Linked DNA regions of Oryzias latipes. The protein of the gene in region 3 binds, or shares a complex with, the protein of the main gene of each other region. Links are inferred from orthologs where the notes say so. Each region holds a gene or a part of one and is shown on either strand. Other genes may lie near its edges.

Region 1 (3,513 bases), on a different chromosome or scaffold from region 3:
TTTAGCAGTGTAGCTTTCCACAGAATCCGGTGTCAGACCGTGGAAAAAGTGAACAAAACAATGAAACTCAGAGACGCTTGTCTGCGGATTTTTCCACTAAATCTCCCATGATGCATTGGGTTAAAGTGACAGCGTCTTGGCGAACAATGAGTCTCTCCTCTTAACGTCTTAAAACAACAACAAACACACAGTTTTTAAATCTTCTAACTTAACTTTTATTACATCTTTTAAAAAAACAGCTGCAGCTTCCAGCTTTTTCTGTCACAATTATCACAAAAATGCATGTGAGATTGTGGATGGGCTGTAGATCAATACAGACTAAGAGCTTTTCCTTTTTGTTTTGTTTTCTGGTGCTGCGGGATTTTTGTCATGGTTAAAGTGTGCCGTGGCTCATAAAAGGTTGAAAAACACTGATCTAGATACACTGCTTGGTGCAGATTCTTACCCGGTTCTGTCAGAACCTCGAGTCCGGCTTGTTCCACTATTGTTGACGGAGAACAAGGGTTCACTGTTCGCCTCACTGGGATTCTCTCCTTCACTGCGGTAGAACCTGCACACGCACACAGAAACACGTTTATAATCCAATTTTGCTCTGAGGAAGATCAGGAAGGGCGTCTTCTGAGAGGCGCCTGGACCACAACCTCATTAAACGCACTAATTGAGCTTTTTCAATTAAAACTCTTCCTGTTGAGATGAAGATAATGACATCAGTGCTTCGTGTAGAGGAAGTTTGGGGGGGGGGGGGGTAAGGCTGTAGTTGAAAGGAAAACAAACACCATGCAGAAACGCTTAACTGCTTTTGTAAAAATTCAGCACCACAAACGAGGTTTTTCAATGTTCTGGGAGGTTCTTTAGGGAGGAAATGGCTTCTAAAGTGAAAGCTGTAGCAGAGCTGGATTAAGCTTGTGAAGTTGAAACCCATAATTTATACCGTTGATGTCATGCGTAATTTCCCAAACAACTCGGTAAAACGAGTTAGGGGTCGAGTTTCCAACTGTGACCTGCTGAGCTGCTAGAAACACAGGACAGAGACAGGACTGCAGAGTGACAGGAGTTCATTAGAAATTCCCCTCAGAATTGTGGGCGGGGCTCTCTTTTTACATTCTCCCCAGCTAGCCTACCGTCCCTCACACCCCAAATCTAACATAACCGGTGAAACAAATATGGCGAGCCTTATTGGAGCTATCCAGTCGTCCAGTTCTGATCTAGATGTCATCTCAGATGAAGATAAAACAGAGACGTCCAAGTTGATGCATCAGAATGGAGGGAGCAGGGAGCTTTTGGCCCGCCCAGCATATTCTCAATGTCATAACTATAATCTTTTTTGAGAATCGCAGCAATTGAGAATCATTTATTTGAATAGGGGGGACAGCGCATATTAATAAACATTTCTGTCAATATGCCAGAGTTAGCCAAAGGGCTATTTTTCATCTGCAGTCCCTGGGAAGATGTTAAAAATCACCCTAAAAGATCAAAGTAAAATTACATATTTACATATTTTACATATTTTAAACAGGATTCTTTCGCCTGCTTCTAATTCGGGATTTGAATACGGAAATTTTCTTCACACGTCCATCATCAGAAAAATGCCACAAGAACATGTTAAAAACACCAAATAGATATGTATGTTAAACGTGCTGCTGCAACAATGTTCTCAATCCAGCATTTCTCCCGTATTCAGCTGCTCCTCATGTTTATGCATCATTCCGTCTTATGGTTTCACTAAGATTGTTTCAACAAAGCACCTCATTAAGAGAAATGCTGTTCAAAGTTTAGAAACACTTTTTGGAAAACGTCAAAAACGCATATACATGCTAGATTGAAAGTGTATCCTCCTATTTCCTTTCTTTGGACTTCAGCTTCATCCTGACGGAGACCTTCAACTCAAACGCAGAGGGAGGATCTCAGTCTGAAACTCAGACTCTTCTGGAATCCTGGAAAACAGTTCCTCTGATATCCATCAGGAACATAAATGAAGACCGTCAAATCACGTTAAGAGGTCTAACCTGGCATCCACATGCGTGGACATCACATGTTGGGTTCACCACAGTAGTTAATTCTGCTTGGCCATATGACTATGTGTGTAGAGAATTAGCTTGAATATTAGCTCAGATCTTAAAAGGTTCAAGTCTTTTTCGTTGAAGTTAAAAAATATATATTTTTAACTTGCAGTGGCGGTTCTACACTAACTTACTTGCCGGGCGAGTAACCCCATCAGCGCTCAACAGTAAAAATCCTCCAAAAAACCTTAAAACATTAATAAACAAATGATCGATTGTTTATTAATTATCTCAAATAAACCACAGAAAAGACACGTAATAAATCTACAATAGTCAGTAAATAATGACATTAACATGAGCTGAGTGATCCAACGGCACGCCATGATCTAGGATTTGCGTTATTGCGCCCACTACCCCTCCCCTTTTCCTTCTCTAAGACAGGACCGCGCAGCTGCGGGGGCGCCAATTCGCTGGTTTTAAGCCGTTCCAAAGTCTGTAAAATAATAGATAATAGAAAACCGATAGTGGCACAATTTTTCTTTTCTTCCAAGCACAAGGATGTTGCCCCCCATTGAAATTTGCCCCCGGGCAATTGCCCGTATTGCCCTTGCCTAAAACCGCTACTGTTAACTTGATTCAATCCTATTCGAAACACAAGGACAAAAAGTGAAGCGAGAAAAACTTTGAAAAGAAAAGTATAAGGGCAAAAAACAGTTTGACACAAAAACAGTGAAGCAGCAACACAGAAACAATGCTCAGTGAACACAGGCTTTCTACTGTGTTCCTCACATTTGTCAATTCTTACTACTTTGAAGTCAACTTCAGCTACAGAGGAACAGGAACTCACACGGGCCGGCAGATCACCAGGTCTCCCTTATTGGTCCCGTATGCCAGACCCATCCCTGGATCTGGCAGCCAGCGAGCAGAGTTGATGCTGACGTGGCGCCTCTGGTCTGGCGCCATGGGGTAAACCACGTTAAATACCATCTGAAACACAGGGGGGCAAATACACATGATCACCACTGGAGCATAAGAACAAAACACAGCAACAAAGAGTGAAATGAAAGATTTTTTTTCTCACCCTGATGGATGTCTCTCCTCCATGCGGCTGTTGCAGGCGGAAGACTTGCGCCACCATGTGGTCTGTGGTGGGGTGCAGCAGGATCCTACGAGAGGCCAGTCCCACCATCACGTAGCAGCCCATGGGAGACAGACTGACAGAGATGGCATTGGGACCTGCAGAGGAAAAGATGTCAAGATATGCCGTGGCTCAGCGAGTCAAAGGCTTGAACAAGGGAATGTGGCGGGAATTCGCACCAAATCTCTTGGTGTAAAGCATCTCTCCTAGGTTGTGTGGAGCCAGAGAGTATATGGCCAGGATGCCCTCATCTGGAAAACCACGCTGGCTGCTGGGAATGAAGACCGCTAGTAGCTGACCATCTGCAGAGATGTCACAGCTGGCGTCGTTGTAGATTTTACAGTTTGGCACCAGAACGTTGACCGAGGCTGCGAA
Region 2 (4,134 bases), on a different chromosome or scaffold from region 3:
CTGGTGTTAAACGGTCAGGGTTGTGTCGTAACTGAAAATGATTTATTCCAAGAAAAGAAGCCAAAACAGACAGCAAAAACAAATGAAATAATCATCTCCAAAGCGATTGTTCAAAAAAACAACATTAACCAAACCGCTGCTGATGATCAAGACGTGAGCACACAGCAGATCTTACCACAGGAGTGAGGGCCATGTGGCAGCTGTATATCCTCGCTAAGCCAAAGTCTGCTAGTTTGACCTGGCCCTGGCTGGTCACCAGAATGTTCTCGGGTTTCAGGTCTCTGTGCATCACGCGGTTTGAGTGGAGGAAGGAGAGGCCAGACAGCAACTGCTTCATCAAGTCCTGAAGACAGAGAAATATTTCACACAAAAAAAGAAAGAGAATCAGTTCCAAACAGTAGCTGCCATCAGTTTTTATTCTTTTCTTCAGGGACTCACTTTCACGCGCTCTGGTGACAACCCTGGAGCTGGAGCTCTCTCTAGATACGTTTTCAGGTCTTGGTCCACATGCTCAAACACCAGAGTGACTTTGGTTTCCTGGTCGGATCTCTTGGTGGCACACACATCCATAAGCCTGGATGAAAGTAGCAAGCACTGATGAGGTGGAGGGGGGGCAACATTTGAGACAAAACCTGTGATAACTCTCCTACCTGACCACATTGGGGTGGTCAAACTGCTCTAGGCGCTTCAACAGCGCCACCTCTCTGACCGTGGACACCGGGAGGCCATTTTGGTCAGTCTGGACGCGCACGTTCTTCAGGGCGACGAACTTGCCACTCTCGATGTCGCGAGCCTTGTAGACGGTCCCGTATGCGCCACCACCGATCTCTGCCACCGGCTCGTACTGCAGACCGGTGCACTGCGCCATGCTCAGACTGGGAGACGAGACTGGGGTCATCTCACATTTATACAGACACCTCAAACTCCAGAGCAGCACTTTTGAGGGATTTACTGAGGGAAAAAGTCTTTAAAAGAACCACTCCAAAAGAAAACAGCGTTTCTGGTTGTTTGACATGTTTTGGTAGCATTTTCTTCTCATGTTGGAGGACATATATTAGGAAAATTGAAATTAAAACTGCTTTACTACTTCTTCTTTTTTCAAATCATAGTGAATCAGGAGCAGACCAAAAACTGCTGTTAGAAAAAGTTTTTACTTGTATACAAAATACAATCGGCGGGCCTCAAGCTCCCTGTTTCTGTCCATGCAGATACATCCACTCGCAGATGACTAGATCCATCTTCGTTTTCCTCGTCTGAGCTAGTATCTGGCTCAAAGCTATATGGCCGGGTAACTCCAATAATGATCACCATTTATTTGTGCTGCTTGCGGTTGTGAGGGACTGTAAGCTAGCAAGACAGAATGCAGACAAAGGGATGATGGGAAGTCAGGGCAGGCTTGCTCAACACAACTCAGAGGAAAAATTTTGATTACCGTAACTCCATCTGCTCTGCAGAAACTATGTCCTAGAAAATTACACAACATTAAAAGATCACTGGGAACGCTTTTAAAATAGATCAAATGATGATTGGAGTGGCTCTTTAGTGTTTTTAAATCAGGAATCTCTCTCTGCACATAAGGAATGGTTTGACAATGATGCCTGGCTGGATTGATCCCTTCCCCAGAGTGACATGTGACATTTGTGTCACTTTGTGTCAAAACTTTCCTGAGCTTCTCCTGTGCGTTTAGTGTTTCGTTTTCCTGCAGCAAGTTTTTCTGCCTCTGCTGTTTGTTTACAGCATAGAAACCAGAGGACAAAAGAGCCGCAAAAAGATCAATTTATACACATTAAAAGCACATTTTTGAGAGACTTTTGCATAAAGCACCAACACAGTGGAGCATTTTTCTTTAACTTGGTTTATCCTAAATGATGGGAAAATGCTTTTTGGTAATTTTTTTGGAAATGAATATATATACTATTCCAGATTAGAGTACATGGAATTATGTAAAAACTTATTTTTATAAATCAAACAACATACAATAAATAGAAAAGAAATAAAATTCACAAATCTATAAATTTTTAACTAAAACAATCATTTCTGTGTTTTGGGAGAGACACAGTGAGTCCAGAGTATAAACTAGGTGAAACTCCCAACAGCCGTTGTTTGAGGGGATCTTCTTGAACCAGTTTGCGCATGACAGCAGCTCGTGATCACAGAAAAATGTATCGATTATCAGATAGGCAAAGCCGGACGTTCGCCCTCCATGTCTCATTCATTCCCCGCCTTATCAAGCGAGAAGCAGGCCGGTGACTCCAAAGCAGTGGGCGGATGTTCATGTGAAATCAGTAGGCCGGGGCAGACACGTGGTGCTCCTCTGTGGCAGTCCTTTGTTAATTTAGAGCAAGAAAATGCAGCAGAAACAGTCCACATGCACTTTTCTAGCTCACACACGCACACACACGTGTCTGATCATTGGTCTGAACGTGGCGGAAGAAAAAGCGGGGGACTATAGTCAGCGGCGGAGGAGACACATCACCGCCTTTTAACTTTTCACATCTGTTCAACATAAAAGCGTAACGCGGCAAAACCATACTCCTCCGCAGGTTTGTGTATTCGACAGGTCACACATAAAAAAAGCTTACCTCGGCCGTTTTTTTTCTTTAAGGGCAAGAGAGCTCACTTTAGTTCGAGCATGCTCGTTGATCTGCCACGTTTATCTGGAGCAGAACGGGTCAGAGGTGGCAGGTCGAGTCCAGGCTGAAGTTTACGGCCGAACAGCGACTTTGATGTGGAAAAGATTTCGGCCTCCGCCGCTTTCCTTCCAGCCTGCGCTCGTTTTCGGTTATCTTCCTGTTGCTTTAGCTTCTCAGGGGGCGGAGCTTAAGTTTTTACCACAAACCATTTGAAGAAAAAAACAAAAAAAGCTTTTTGTTATCAAAAGCCACAAATTCGTGCGACCTATTTTTTGTTAAGCCGTTTTATTTAAAAAAGGGGGGAAAACGACCCCACTTGCTTCACATAAGAGGGAGAAAACAGTGATTTACTGTTTACACTAAATAAAAAAGAAATGGACAAAAATGTTATAAACTTGGAAAGCCTATATCTTATTATAGAGGTTTTTAATACATATATTTCATTTTAAGGCAATGTAATTAGGTAATTCAATAATCAAATCATGGTTGATTGGGTTTTTTATAAGATACCTAACTTTTCTATTCTTCAACCAGAAATTAAGTCAATAAACTAGAGTATCTTCACTGGAAGTGTTTTATTTTTTTTCACTCCATTGACTTACACAACTGCAAACTATCATTGTGGTTGTTTACACCACAGTTAAAACTGTGGTTTTGTTTAGAGAACTGAATAGATCAATGTTAAAAAAGAATTAGAAAATGAATGTAATTAAATATGTTGAAAGAAAATATTTACATTGTTAAAAAAAAACCTTTTATACAAATAGTTGAAATTAAAAATCTCAATCTCTAAAAAATTATTTAATTCAGTGATTTGGATTTTCAAATTAAGTGAATGTCAACATTTTAATGACGTCCACAATGTGGTTTTCTAATTATTTTGATCCTACGGTATGCTGCCTTCTTTTTCATGAATGTATTGTAAAGATTAGTATGTTAACATTAATGATTTATTTGTAAATAACGGGTTAAATAAAAAGCTAAATGTGTTGTAAAAACATGATTTTTAAAAATATATGCACATCAGTTTAAATATTTTCTTGAGAGTTGATACCAGCATAGTTTTTAGTTGTTCATTAATGTTACCATAAAAGCTTACTTTAAATTTATTCATTGCAAAATGAGACAAAATTGGTCAAAATTTTGTCCTATTTTAAAAACAAACAAACAAATAAAATACACCCTCAAGGTATAAAACATTTAACTCTGTTCAAAATAAATTTAATGCAACATTATGTGGTAAATTCAATACTATAAAATGCCAGTTTTGCATGTTTAAAAGATAAGAGATTAGACCTCAAGCCAGAACTTATTAAAAGTTCACTAACTTACATCGTAAAATATTTAAACTCACAAATAAGAGTTTCCTCAATTTTGATTTTTCAAATTAGTAAAAATGTCATTAAAAAAAATAATGTCATAAAAATAAAAATATACAGAAAGGAGTAGTTATTATATTACCCAGTGTTGTCTGTCTTTAAGCCACTTTTGTAAGATCTGG
Region 3 (3,756 bases):
CACCTCCCAACCAAAACTCAGAAACCTCTGTTCTCTTTGACCAGTCTACGTCTCTTGACGCGCAGAAACGTTGGCTGAAAATAGTTCATTTCATCTATGATCAACCTCCAAACTTAGGTCTATTCGGTCTAATGGAGGTCCGTTTTATCACAACCTTTCATTCTAAAACATGCTTAACCCTTGTGCTATCTTAGATGACCCCCCCCTTCCATTGACGTGTTCTCCCTACCATGACAAAGGTGGATAAAGGTGGAAAGATTTCATGTAATCCATGGACACCAGTGAAGATCACAAATCATTGAAGAAAAAAGGTTCAGAGCACTGTCTAGTGGGTCTAGATGACCCAACTCCCAATCTTAAAGTGCCTAGGATAGCACAAGGGTTACATTTGCACTGTTTAAACTCAAGTGAAGCACTGATTCTATTTAATCCAGAAAGTGTCAGTCAAAGATGTGAGCTTGGAGATGAGTGGTTTGGGTGTGTGAAGGTTTCAGGCAACAAATGGTGGCCAGCTTTCCTAGTTCATGTTTTTATTGTGTCGTCAACACAAAAATGAATACATTATCCTGGGTGCAGACAGCTGACATGAAAACAATCGGTTTGGAATGATCCGTGAACACAGCACAAGGATGATCTATGGCTTACCGAGGATGAGACTGAATGTATTTACAAACTCAAATCGACTCACTGGAAGTTTGAAAAATTGGAGCAGGTTTTTTTTTTTCTCTTTATAAATATAAAAAGGGGGAAGGAAGAGAGGCCATTATGGGCCTAATGGGGGGATAAAGTCTCTTTTATCGAGACAGCTTAACACTCAACAGAGTTATACACATCCCATTTTCTGTTATGGCACCAGTTACAACGCACGGCCTGGACACGCTGGTTTCCATCGCAGATGCTTCACCTACAAAAGGTCAAAGCTGGCAAGCACTGAACCAGCGAGCACAATGAAACACGCACACACACACACACACACACACACAACTAAAAATCAGAGATCATGACTGTCACATGAGGTATTGTGAATCAAAGCATTACTGTACATTGTCAATTCGTCCTTGTATTTGGAATAGTTTGGAAAAAAAAAAAAATCACATTAGATAATTACAACCAAAAGATCACATAGTCTACACAGAACAAATGGTGACATCAACAACTTCCTATTAGAAAATTCAGACCTAGAATGGCAGTACATTTATACATATAAAAAATAGCAGCAAACAACAGAAAAAAAAGCATTGTTTTCATTTCATATCTGTTTTTTGTATTTTTATTTTTGTCTTTAAACACAAAGCTCAAATGTATCTTCTATAGCAGCAAAATACAAGGAGTGTTTCTCTCCTACGTTCTATCCTTACTGTAGAATCAGAAACCTACTTTAAAAGGATCCTACACTCAGACTCCGCCTCATTCCTTATAAAGTGAATGTCCATCTGAGCAGAAATGCCTCCTCTTTATGGGACGAAGCCCCAACCACTCTAAAGCAGTTTCTGATGAGCCTTTCTCCTCTTTGTTTCATTTTTGACACTTCAAACTGTTGCCCACTATACTCTCCACCAGTTTTTGAGGCAAGTCCAAGAGAAGCCCCGCCCACGTCCTTAAGGTTTGTGCAAAAATCATCTCATATTCTCATCGCTCCCCTTTCTTCAACTTGATCCATTTTTCATAATCCATGAGCAGTATTTGAAGTGAGGAGGAGTATGGAGGGATGCCGTCCTGGTGGTTCAGGTCAACTCAAGCTTACGGTTTTACAGCATTTCATTGGCAAACATCTGCACAAGTGGGCGGAGCCACAATTGAAAGTTGTAAAAATAAATAGGTTTTACGATATGGAATATAAAGCATTACTTTAGCTATAAAAATAATCCTTTTACCTCCTCAGATTTAGCCTTTGGCTCTACATGCTTGCAGTTGTAGTGAACCTGTGAAAAGCTCAGGGCGGCTCTGCCTGAACTAACACTGCACAAGTGAAACTAGCAGGACAGGAAGGCTGCTATGACGGGCCTTTCCCAGACATAAAAACAAGTCTATCTGCAACACTGGTCAATTCTTTGTCCCATCTGATGAATCTGAACCAGCTGCTCGACCACTGCATCACCAACCTCGGGTTCCATTGCAAACTCTACCACCACGATTTTTCTTTCAGTTGAGCCAGCACGGCTGACCAAAAGTGCTTCTTTCTTGAAAACAATACATTGGAATGGTATTAGATCTAACTACACAAAAGAAGAAACCATCAGAGTCTGGACAGCTCTGCTCGCATTAGCACTGACTTGATTTGATCAATTGCTGCAAGCGGAAACGGGTCAAATGAATCATCAAGAAAGACTAGCGTTTGTCCACACCAGCAGCAGACAAAAACACAACTTCACTCACAGACGGGTTTTAAAAACTACCCAAAAGCTTAGAACAAAAGAGGTATAAGGCTAAATAATATAATAAAGTGACTAAACATAAACAAGCATGGGGTAAATGGATGCCTGAACTACAAGACAAACACGGGGACTTAGAAAAAGCCTAACTCATTCTAAACAAAAGAAACTGGTTCAAAACAGCATCTTTGCTTTGATAAATGTTGGGTTTCAGGTGGACAGACTGTGAAGGCCTACTGAACACCACACTTTGGGATCCTTAAGTAGTCATCATCAGTCCACAGCAATTTAAAAGATTCCTAGTTTGAAATGGAGGATAAGAACCAAAAGAATCAGTTTGTGTGGCTCTGACTCCTGCCCACACGGGTCACCGGTGCGCGTTTCTCACTTGTCCATGTCTAGTGTTCTGGTCTATGTCCAGGATTGGAGGGGACACTGGCAAGGAATGTGGTGGGAGGTGCGCTGCATGGCAAGAAGGGTGCGCCACCTTGCCTTGGCAGTCGTGGTGGACAAGTGAGTGACATCCGTTGAAGCAGCTGCGCACCAGGCAACCGAGGAAGAGAGGAGGGGAGGCAGTAATCAGGCCCCCCCTTCTTTGCTTGCCCATCTTCTAACAACAGAGTTCTCCCAACACTGGGATTAGGACATGCTGGTGACCATCTCAAATGTTGATGTCCCGCACGTCTGTTGGCGTGCAGGACAGGTCCACCTCTTCATCCACACGCTTGGCTTCCGTCACGCTGCCATGCTGCTGCGCCTGCCGCAGGCTGGACTCCAGCAGAGACTCAATCTGCTCCTGACACGACCGCAAACAGTCCTGCAAACAAACAACTGGTCAGAAAAAAACGTGCTGCCACTGCGCAACAGCAAAGACACGAGCCCTCTTCAGGGTTAGAGGTTAGACAGTGCGAGGGGTTTTCCATACCGGGTCACTGCGGATGACCTGAGACAGGAAGTTAGTCAGGTTCTGAGAGGACAAGGAGGCATCTTGGCTTTTCAAGTAGAGTCCTTGAACAGCTGCCACCACACTGCCGGCTGCCACCATTGATGGAGGACTGGCTATAAAGTTCACATCTGTAGAGGCAGAAGAACGTTCACATTTGGTTCGGGTATCTGCAAGCCGTTTTCCGTCACATCGTATGTTTGCACGTTTGTTTCTGTTCTTTCAGCATCACCATCCTATGCTGTGGGTTCGAATACCAAAGACCTGACCGGAACAGCAAGTTAACCGTGACGCAAAAACTGCTGACCACTACAGGGAGGAGGAGTTCCTCCAGTTTGATCAATGTATTTTCTAAGCTGACTCAAATCAATTTGGTTTGCAGCCACATTGTCAGGACTCTGAAAGGAAGCCGTCCATCCGTTCTACCATTTATCAGGACTT
Region 4 (2,847 bases), on a different chromosome or scaffold from region 3:
TGCTCCAAAGAGATAAATTGCTACACACTGAACATTCATAATCCAGAGCCATTCACACGTCAGGACAGAGCAGCAGATGAATTTGACGAATAAGAGACAGGACATGAAGGGAAATGCAGGTTTGTGGTTCGTGATGGAAGCAGAGCGTCTCTAGACTTGGAGACGTTGAATCTCTTTTTCCCAATAGTTCATATAAAACTCTTCACTTCAGCATAAAAAAAGGGGGGACATTGTGATTTTAACACATGCTGTACATCTTCCTCCTCTCCTGTGGGTGGGAGCCGAGATGTGGAATGTACAGCGGCGAAAATGTCTGTCATCACTTTGGCAACCGCTTGATCCAAATGAGGATAAATCCACTGATTCCGTGGATTACCGTTAATCTTCTCTGCTCAAATGTCCCCTTCTTAGCCCAGGGAAAGGCACCGATCCCCCCCCACATACAGTAGCCTAATTAACTGAGCAGTGAAATGTAGCTGAACCCCTCCCGAGTTCACAGGTACGGACTCCTGCGGAGGGCGTGGCTTCTGAGTGGGGCGTGGCGTGTGCGCTCCTCCGTCACTCGCCCGATTTCCGCGGCATCCAGACCATTCGTCGTTTAGCTTGGTAGAAATCTGCAGGGATGAAAGCGACACTGAGCTCAGGGGGAATCGGTGCAACGACACAGACGCAGCTGAACGTTCCACTCCCATCATATTTTGAGAAAAGCCTTCCCTGTCGTCTTTTGATTACGATTATGCCTTTTTTAGCCAAAATGAAATAATCTTGTCGTCACCTCTGAGATGTGGGCGGGGCATTAGCTCAGAGTAACCCCGCCCCTACCTCCCATTATCCATCTATTTGTACCCTCTCTAGCTGGCTTACAGCCCCTCACATTACTCTTCTAGCTCAGACGAGGGACTAAAAAAGTTTTTTGGACCTATTTGTCTGTAAATGAATGCAGATACTCTCTTTTTCTAACATTTTTTATCTGCTTTGAACAATTAAATACTAAGCTTTTCTTTATAAATGTCCTCCATCGTCAATAAAGCGTCATAAGAACACGATTCAAAACAAATGAAAGCACCTGTGATGTTTGTCTGTTTCCTCTTCATCCCGGCCTTCTCCTCCTTCTCTGGTGTTTTCTCCACGTTGAAGATGTTCTCTGTCAGTGGGATGTTCTCCTTCTCCCTCTGCGGCAGCTCAGATCTTCGTCTCTTGGGGGGGGTCCTGGTCTCCGCCGTCTTCTGGACCCGTCCAGCATCCTGACAGCGGTACAGCAGCGGCACTCCGGCCCCCGGGACGCTCTCCCACAGGAAGTGGCTGCCCTCCAGGGGCTTGTCGGAGCGGAAGTCGAAGCCCCAGCGAAGGGACGCTTCGTCCAGGTCTTTCCGCAGGGCGGCCTGGTACTCCAGCTGAAGCTGCTCCCGGTCCACCGGGCCAAACAGGTTTCGCCTCGCGGGCCTCCTGGGAGCGGCGGGAATCCGCTTTGGAGCAGCCATGGTTCTGCACTGTTTGAACACAGAACACTCCTGGTTAGATCTCAGATGTCATATGATGATGAGATGGATCATGTAAAGCAGTAAAAGAGTCAAAGAAAAACCCAAAGTGTAAAAAGTTCCGAGCTCACCATGACTGTTCACTCTACAGACCATCAGAGAAAAGCAGAGCTGTGCCTCTCCTCTCCTCCCTCCCTCTTAGGAGAGGCTGAATCATCGGTACATGCCTGGACATAATCTGACAGGCCGACAACACAGAGCCGCCACTAGGGGGCAGAGTGGCAATGACAGATCCACCACCAGAGGTGTCCTTCCACCTCAGTCTGCATGACAGACCGCATCACCCTGAACAGGACATTTTCCTTTTTAGGAAAAAAGGAAGTCCATCCCAGGCCAGGCTGGTTATCCAGGAGGACAAAATAGTCCACAGTAAAGCTTGTTGTTTTTTTTTTAAAGAGAGCAGAAAATGAGGATAGACAGCAAACAAACCCCCAGCAGCTTGTTAGATATGATTTTATTATAATACATAAATTAAAAATGGTTGTTCCTGTTTTTTTTTTGTTTTAAAAAACACTTTAGAAAACAATTTATACCAAAAATATGAATATTTTCCTTTATCTGGTTTAAAACTATTTCCAGTTCTTTAGTGATAATGTTTAAATTAATATTTAGGTTTCTCCACATTATAATCCCGCTGTTCTTAAAGCTCAGACTGATGGATATTGACATTAAATATCTTATTTTTGAATGTTTTGATTCTTCCATTGAGGCTGGAACGGTGATCTAGCAGAGTAACCCAGACTTTTCATGACGTCATAGACCGACATAAAGCTTCTGTTGTCTCTTCGGGGCGGGGTCACTGGGGGCGCGGCCGACTCCCATCGGGGCGGGCGTTCAGGCCATGGCGGGAGAGTATGAATCCGGGTTTGGACCAGCCCCGTTCGGTTACTACGAGGCTCCACGTGAACCTGGAGCACGTGTCCCCCATTCAAACGGGGCTGTCACCGCCGTACTCACGCGGAGGACGCGCGCGCGCATCAAAACACCCTAGATAGGACTTCTGGAAAACTTTTTTTTGATTTAATAAGTTACCAGGAAACTTTTTTAATTCATATAACCAGAATGTTGGATCAACGACGCTGAAGTTAGCATCCGATTCACAGCTTCCGATTCGCGAGTGCACTAAAGGAGCATTCCACTGTTTTTTTTGCACTAAGATCTCCTTAGATGGGGTCCGGTTCAAAAACTGCTGGACCTAGACTGCTCAAACCTGGATTAAATTATGATTTAGATACTGAAGAATACATTAAACACAGTTTCTGATTTGTGAAACCTTCCTCTGATTTGTGAAAATGTGAAATAGGTTGAT
Region 5 (4,166 bases), on a different chromosome or scaffold from region 3:
ACATTTAACTTAGGTTTGACAGCCTGGAAACATGTGCATGGTCTTTGTCCTTCAAAAAAAAAATGAGTGCCTCACAACTCTGGGGATCGAAACATTTACAAAATAAAAGCATCAGAACTCCAATTTTAAAATAAATATTAAAAAAAAAAAAAGGAAAATAAAAGGTACTTGCTGAAATTTTTAATTTCATCCTGTGCCATTTCCTGTGGATCTTTAAAAAAAAGAAAAAAGAAAAAGTGGCCTCAACACAAAAAAGGGAAGAAAAGAAAAACACGTTCATTAGGCAGATGAGCTACATTTGTACCATTCCTTGCTGTTGAGTTAGGAAGATGACGGCATAAAGGCACACTGTTGAGAAACTAAAACCATGATTTTCTTTCTTTTTTTTTAAATGTAGCATTTATGGACTGGGTCAACACCACAGTGCCTTTCAAAAATATTAATAATAATAATAAAATGCAAACAGAACAGCATTTTGGAAACATGTTTCAAACCGAACACTTCAAGTCAAATCAAAATTCACACCTCTTTTACACAAAGGATTAAAAAAAAAAAAAAATCAATGTTTTTATGTGCTACATAGAAAACATATATATTTATTTATTAAATTATTTACACACAGGTAGTTAAAAAAAGAAAAAAATCAAACCTAATTGCACGCTGCTACATGGACTGCTGTTAGAGGCAGTAACATTTCAATGAGTGCCACAAACTTTAGTGTTTCTCTTCAGTGCTTCAACAGCGTCCTCCCCCGTCCTCAGGAGAGCTGATATGTTTCTGATGCTGTGTAGATCCTCGTCCAAAAAAAGGAAAGAATAATTAAAAAAAAAAAAAAAAGATCAACGCAGTCTTAAAAACAAAAAAACAAAAAAAAACACATGCACGCATACGCAAACACACTCGTACAGAGAAAAAAAAACTGGGAGGGGCACATCTTGAGCTCTGTTGGAGATCAGAACAAAAGACAAAAACAAAGAGGTTGAAAGGTTAGTACTTTTTTTTCTTTTAGGAGATGCAACTACTACTGCTAAAGTATTGACAGTGTTCTGAGGTATGACTGAAAAAAAAGAAGAAACTAGTCATTTCCAAAAACAAAACAAAACTATCAACTCAAATAAAGCTCGGCTGCATACCATTTACAAAAACGTGCAATTTTTTCAGTTCTGTTAACTTTTATTTTTACTAAGAAGAGACGAAAATGAACATGGGATTTTTTTTTACTTAAAGATAAATCGAAGTCAAAGTTCCGCTAATTTAACCTTGACTTTTTTTGCCACAACCTTTAAAGGTTCACACCTGACAGCTTAGAGCAGGTTTCTGTGCTCCTTCTCTCTTGTGGGTCATAGTAGACCTGCAGAACTCTCGTACTCTCCTCTGCAGCAGGGAGTGTACATGTCTGCGTGTGTTTCTGCGCGCGCGCGCTCAGAGACCTGCCCCTTCCCGTCCGCGCGGAGGCCACTGGCTGCTGACGTGTTACTACTACACTGTTGTTCAGCTTGTTGTTTACAGTTCAGCAGACGAACATCGGCCGCAAGGAGGAAAAAACTTTTTTTTTTAAAAATTCTTTATTGGCGTGTCATATAAATCCTCTTGGTTTAATAAACAGACTTCACTTTTTTGCGCTAGAATGCGTCAATACAAATAAAAAAAAAAATGATGTAAAATTTAATATCTTTTTTTTTTTTTAAATTCGAGGTTAACAGTTTTTTTTAAATTGAAGTGGTTCGCTCACCGTGTCGCCGTGCTCACGTTGGTCTCTTGGGGCTGGTCTTTCTGGGTGTGTGTTCTGCAGACTGGCTCAGGCTCGGACAGCTAACCTCCTCCGGGCTGGTGTGAGACTTCTTACTTGGGGCCGAAGGGTCTGCAAAAATAAATAAATGAGTAAAATAAACTATATATTACAGAGAGAAAAAAATGGTCGGGGTGCTCAATGTTCTCTGGGATTTTACGGCAGTTTCCCCCGCTTTACGACCCCCTCATCCCGCATACCAGTACCGCGAGCACAAAGCTGCCGCCCGGCGATCTGTTACACAGCAACGGGTCGTTTGATGCTAATGTCATACCGTGACACGCAGGTCTCTTCCTCAGCCCGCCGCACTGCTCCGTGCACTCCATCTGAGCGTCAGAGCGGCTGGGAACTGTCCCGACACAGTCATGATTCCCGTTTAGATCCACATTGTTATTCCCGGGGCAAACGCCTCGTTCTCGCCGCGGCAGGCGGGTGTAGAAACTCGGCAGGTCTCTGGCGTTCACCAGCTCCCACTCCAGCCTGCTGTTGGGCAGCGGTGTGTCAGTCGCGAAGTCGAAGCCCCACTTGGCGGAGGCAGCCTCTTCAAACTCCCGCAAATGTACATTTAAATCCCTCTTTAACTCTTCGTGGTCCACCGAGCCGAAGAGGCTCCTGCAGGCTGACGGCTTCGGGTGTTCCGACACCCGGGGCTCCGTCCTCTCCAAAGTCGGGCTCCCGCTCGAAAGTCGAACGTTAGACATGGTTAAGCCCCCCGGAAAAAAGGTAAAAATTTCAAGCAGCCGGGAGCGTCCAGTTTTCAGGCGAAAAACACACCTCAAGAAGAAAAAAGAAAAGAAAAAAAAGGTATGTCCTCCTAGTCACGGGGAAAGATCCAAAACAGGCGTGAAACGACCATGCGCACGTCGAGCTGGAGGCAAACACGGCTGCGATTTCCTGAGCCGAAGACGGCTTACGCCAATCATCCAAACGACGGGAGAACGAACCAAAGCTCGCTGTCAACGTCGCTCCGTACAGCGGGAAGCGGAGGCGAACCTCTCGGTACCCAATATGGCGATTGAGACATGTAGTGGGGATTGAGAGGGGAGGTTGACTTTGGAGGGAGGGGGAGGAGGGTTACACATGATTGACATACGGAGCCATTTAAAACCCAAGAAGCGCACTCATTGGATGGAGCTCTTTAGACCCGCCCACTTTATTTAAGGTAGACCGAATAATTGCATAAGGCATGCTGTTCTAAACATATTACTTACCTTTTTTATTTTTTTTACAAAGTAAATAAGTTCACACATTTGATGTAACTTAATGTACAAGTTTCAAAAAGTAAAATGGATTAAACATTTTAAGACATCTAAATTTGAAGAAAAAAATTGGATTGCAACCATACAAATAGTGCCAATATGTTCTAAAACACACATATTCAGTATTTATTTTAAACATTTTGGATGTACAGTAAAATTAATAAATACAATTAAAATGGAGTAAAATCCAAAACAAAACTGAAATTGTTGCATCATATTCTTTCAATGGACACTAATAAATGAACCTGTGGTCCTAAATGGAGATAAAGTCCAGTAAGAGGACCCCAAACTGAGCTGATTTAGTAAAAGCCTAATAAACATTTTAATTCTAAAAAATTTTCTTACCGTAACAAAATCTGTACATATATCGGAATTATTGACTGAAAATATTTATATATGAAGTAATAACATATAAAGATGAAAATAAATTTCTGCTATCCTAAAGTCAACTGTTTTTTTCCAGATTTATCATAAAGCTTCTTAGTTTTTACTTTTTATTCACATGCAAAAAAAAATAAACACCCCTAAATGAGAATAGAGGGCAGCTTGATGCTTAAATTGAAAGTGGCGCAGTCGTCTTTAAATAGAACCAAAAGCCTTTTGACAGAAATGATGCAATCTAATTTAGCTGTGAGCAATTATTTACTCAAAGGGTCAGAGCAGGATAGGAGGTGCAGCAGTGTTCACTCAACCACTGTCAAGCCAACAGCGCCCCCTAGAGCTTCATCTAACACACAACTCTGGAAGCACAAATCTTTTAATACCTTTAAATACTAAAGTTGTCTGTACGATTACATTTTTAACAAAGGCCACATGGACTTACAGAGTCACCATTATGAGTCCGCTACAGTCTGCTTTAGTCGCCTACCTTGCCTGTAAGTCCTTTACGGCGTACAGGCACTGCGGTGGGCGGTGCAGCCTCAAAGACCGAGCCACTTGATGATGTAGTAGTTCCTCTTGCCCACTCTGAGCAGAGTGAGTCCGTTGGACAGGACGTGGAGTTTGGGGACGAGAACCTGCTCCGGTTTGTCCGCCCGTGTGTGGTTGATCCACACGGCTCCGTCTGAAACCATCTGGTACCTGCAAGCGAACACGACGGCTCAGTCAGGATCCAAATC

The links.
Region 1: the proteins of ccnd1 (region 3) and ambra1 are in contact, whole or in part, in a cryo-EM structure (PDB 9IVD), measured with the Homo sapiens proteins. The link is inferred for Oryzias latipes from reciprocal best matches to the Homo sapiens genes CCND1 and AMBRA1. Residues at the interface, in NP_444284.1 of Homo sapiens: Thr286, Pro287, Thr288, Asp289, Val290, Arg291, Val293, Asp294, Ile295; in NP_001354397.1 of Homo sapiens: Arg54, Ser55, Phe57, Val73, His75, Arg96, Thr97, Trp99, Leu116, Ala139, Arg184, Ile945, Asn1012, Asn1029.
Region 2: the proteins of ccnd1 (region 3) and cdk4 are in contact, whole or in part, in a crystal structure (PDB 2W96), measured with the Homo sapiens proteins. The link is inferred for Oryzias latipes from reciprocal best matches to the Homo sapiens genes CCND1 and CDK4. Residues at the interface, in NP_444284.1 of Homo sapiens: Leu6, Cys7, Cys8, Glu9, Val10, Thr12, Ile13, Ala30, Lys33, Ala34, Thr37, Phe108, Lys112, Met113, Glu115, Pro118, Leu119, Thr120, Ala121, Leu138, Gln139, Glu141, Leu142, Val145, Asn146, Lys149, Trp150, Asn151, Leu152, Ala153; in NP_000066.1 of Homo sapiens: Gly45, Gly48, Leu49, Ile51, Thr53, Val54, Arg55, Val57, Ala58, Leu59, Arg61, Arg62, Ala65, Phe66, Asp76, Val77, Cys78, Ala79, Arg82, Ile87, Val89, Asp129, His132, Ala133, Asn134, Cys135, Ser285, Phe287, Arg288.
Region 4: the proteins of ccnd1 (region 3) and cyclin-dependent kinase inhibitor 1-like are in contact, whole or in part, in a crystal structure (PDB 6P8H), measured with the Homo sapiens proteins. The link is inferred for Oryzias latipes from reciprocal best matches to the Homo sapiens genes CCND1 and CDKN1A. Residues at the interface, in NP_444284.1 of Homo sapiens: Met56, Ile59, Thr62, Trp63, Glu66, Val67, Glu70, Glu92, Lys95, Lys96, Ser97, Arg98, Leu99, Gln100, Leu101, Ile126, Tyr127, Thr128, Asp129, Ser131, Arg133, Glu136, Gln139, Met140, Leu142, Leu143, Asn146, Lys147; in NP_000380.1 of Homo sapiens: Ser15, Lys16, Ala17, Cys18, Arg19, Arg20, Leu21, Phe22, Gly23, Pro24, Val25, Ser27, Gln29, Leu30, Asp33, Cys34, Asp35, Leu37, Met38, Cys41.
Region 5: the proteins of ccnd1 (region 3) and cdkn1b are in contact, whole or in part, in a crystal structure (PDB 6P8F), measured with the Homo sapiens proteins. The link is inferred for Oryzias latipes from reciprocal best matches to the Homo sapiens genes CCND1 and CDKN1B. Residues at the interface, in NP_444284.1 of Homo sapiens: Met56, Ile59, Val60, Trp63, Glu66, Val67, Glu70, Glu92, Lys95, Lys96, Ser97, Arg98, Leu99, Gln100, Leu101, Ile126, Tyr127, Thr128, Asp129, Ser131, Arg133, Glu136, Gln139, Met140, Leu142, Leu143, Asn146, Lys147; in NP_004055.1 of Homo sapiens: Lys25, Pro26, Ser27, Ala28, Cys29, Arg30, Asn31, Leu32, Phe33, Pro35, Val36, His38, Glu39, Glu40, Leu41, Thr42, Asp44, Leu45, His48, Cys49, Met52.

What each region holds. Positions count from the first base shown.
Region 1 is NC_019864.2:26,790,954-26,794,466, reverse strand, and holds part of ambra1 (activating molecule in BECN1-regulated autophagy protein 1), read right to left. Parts: intron 3,507-3,513; coding exon 3,318-3,506; intron 3,237-3,317; coding exon 3,082-3,236; intron 2,988-3,081; coding exon 2,848-2,987; intron 551-2,847; coding exon 446-550; intron 1-445. UniProt on the Homo sapiens protein: Substrate-recognition component of a DCX (DDB1-CUL4-X-box) E3 ubiquitin-protein ligase complex involved in cell cycle control and autophagy.
Region 2 is NC_019863.2:27,222,146-27,226,279, reverse strand, and holds the start of cdk4 (cyclin-dependent kinase 4), read right to left. Parts: upstream 2,808-4,134; 5' UTR 2,583-2,807; intron 876-2,582; 5' UTR 869-875; coding exon 651-868; intron 575-650; coding exon 439-574; intron 344-438; coding exon 176-343; intron 1-175.
Region 3 is NC_019861.2:4,926,015-4,929,770, forward strand, and holds the end of ccnd1 (G1/S-specific cyclin-D1), read right to left. Parts: intron 3,447-3,756; coding exon 3,298-3,446; intron 3,190-3,297; coding exon 3,034-3,189; 3' UTR 514-3,033; downstream 1-513. UniProt on the Homo sapiens protein: Regulatory component of the cyclin D1-CDK4 (DC) complex that phosphorylates and inhibits members of the retinoblastoma (RB) protein family including RB1 and regulates the cell-cycle during G(1)/S transition.
Region 4 is NC_019863.2:2,308,765-2,311,611, forward strand, and holds cyclin-dependent kinase inhibitor 1-like, read right to left. Parts: upstream 1,495-2,847; 5' UTR 1,491-1,494; coding exon of another isoform or gene 1,482-1,490; coding exon 1,067-1,481; intron 615-1,066; coding exon 559-614; 3' UTR 514-558; downstream 1-513. UniProt on the Homo sapiens protein: Plays an important role in controlling cell cycle progression and DNA damage-induced G2 arrest. Involved in p53/TP53 mediated inhibition of cellular proliferation in response to DNA damage.
Region 5 is NC_019864.2:11,436,262-11,440,427, reverse strand, and holds the start of cdkn1b (cyclin-dependent kinase inhibitor 1B), read right to left. Parts: upstream 2,812-4,166; 5' UTR 2,491-2,811; coding exon 2,064-2,490; intron 1,862-2,063; coding exon 1,746-1,861; 3' UTR 1,733-1,745; intron 943-1,732; 3' UTR 1-942. Other genes in the region: yars2 (tyrosine--tRNA ligase, mitochondrial), read right to left, coding at 3,969-4,128. UniProt on the Homo sapiens protein: Important regulator of cell cycle progression. Inhibits the kinase activity of CDK2 bound to cyclin A, but has little inhibitory activity on CDK2 bound to SPDYA. Involved in G1 arrest. Potent inhibitor of cyclin E- and cyclin A-CDK2 complexes.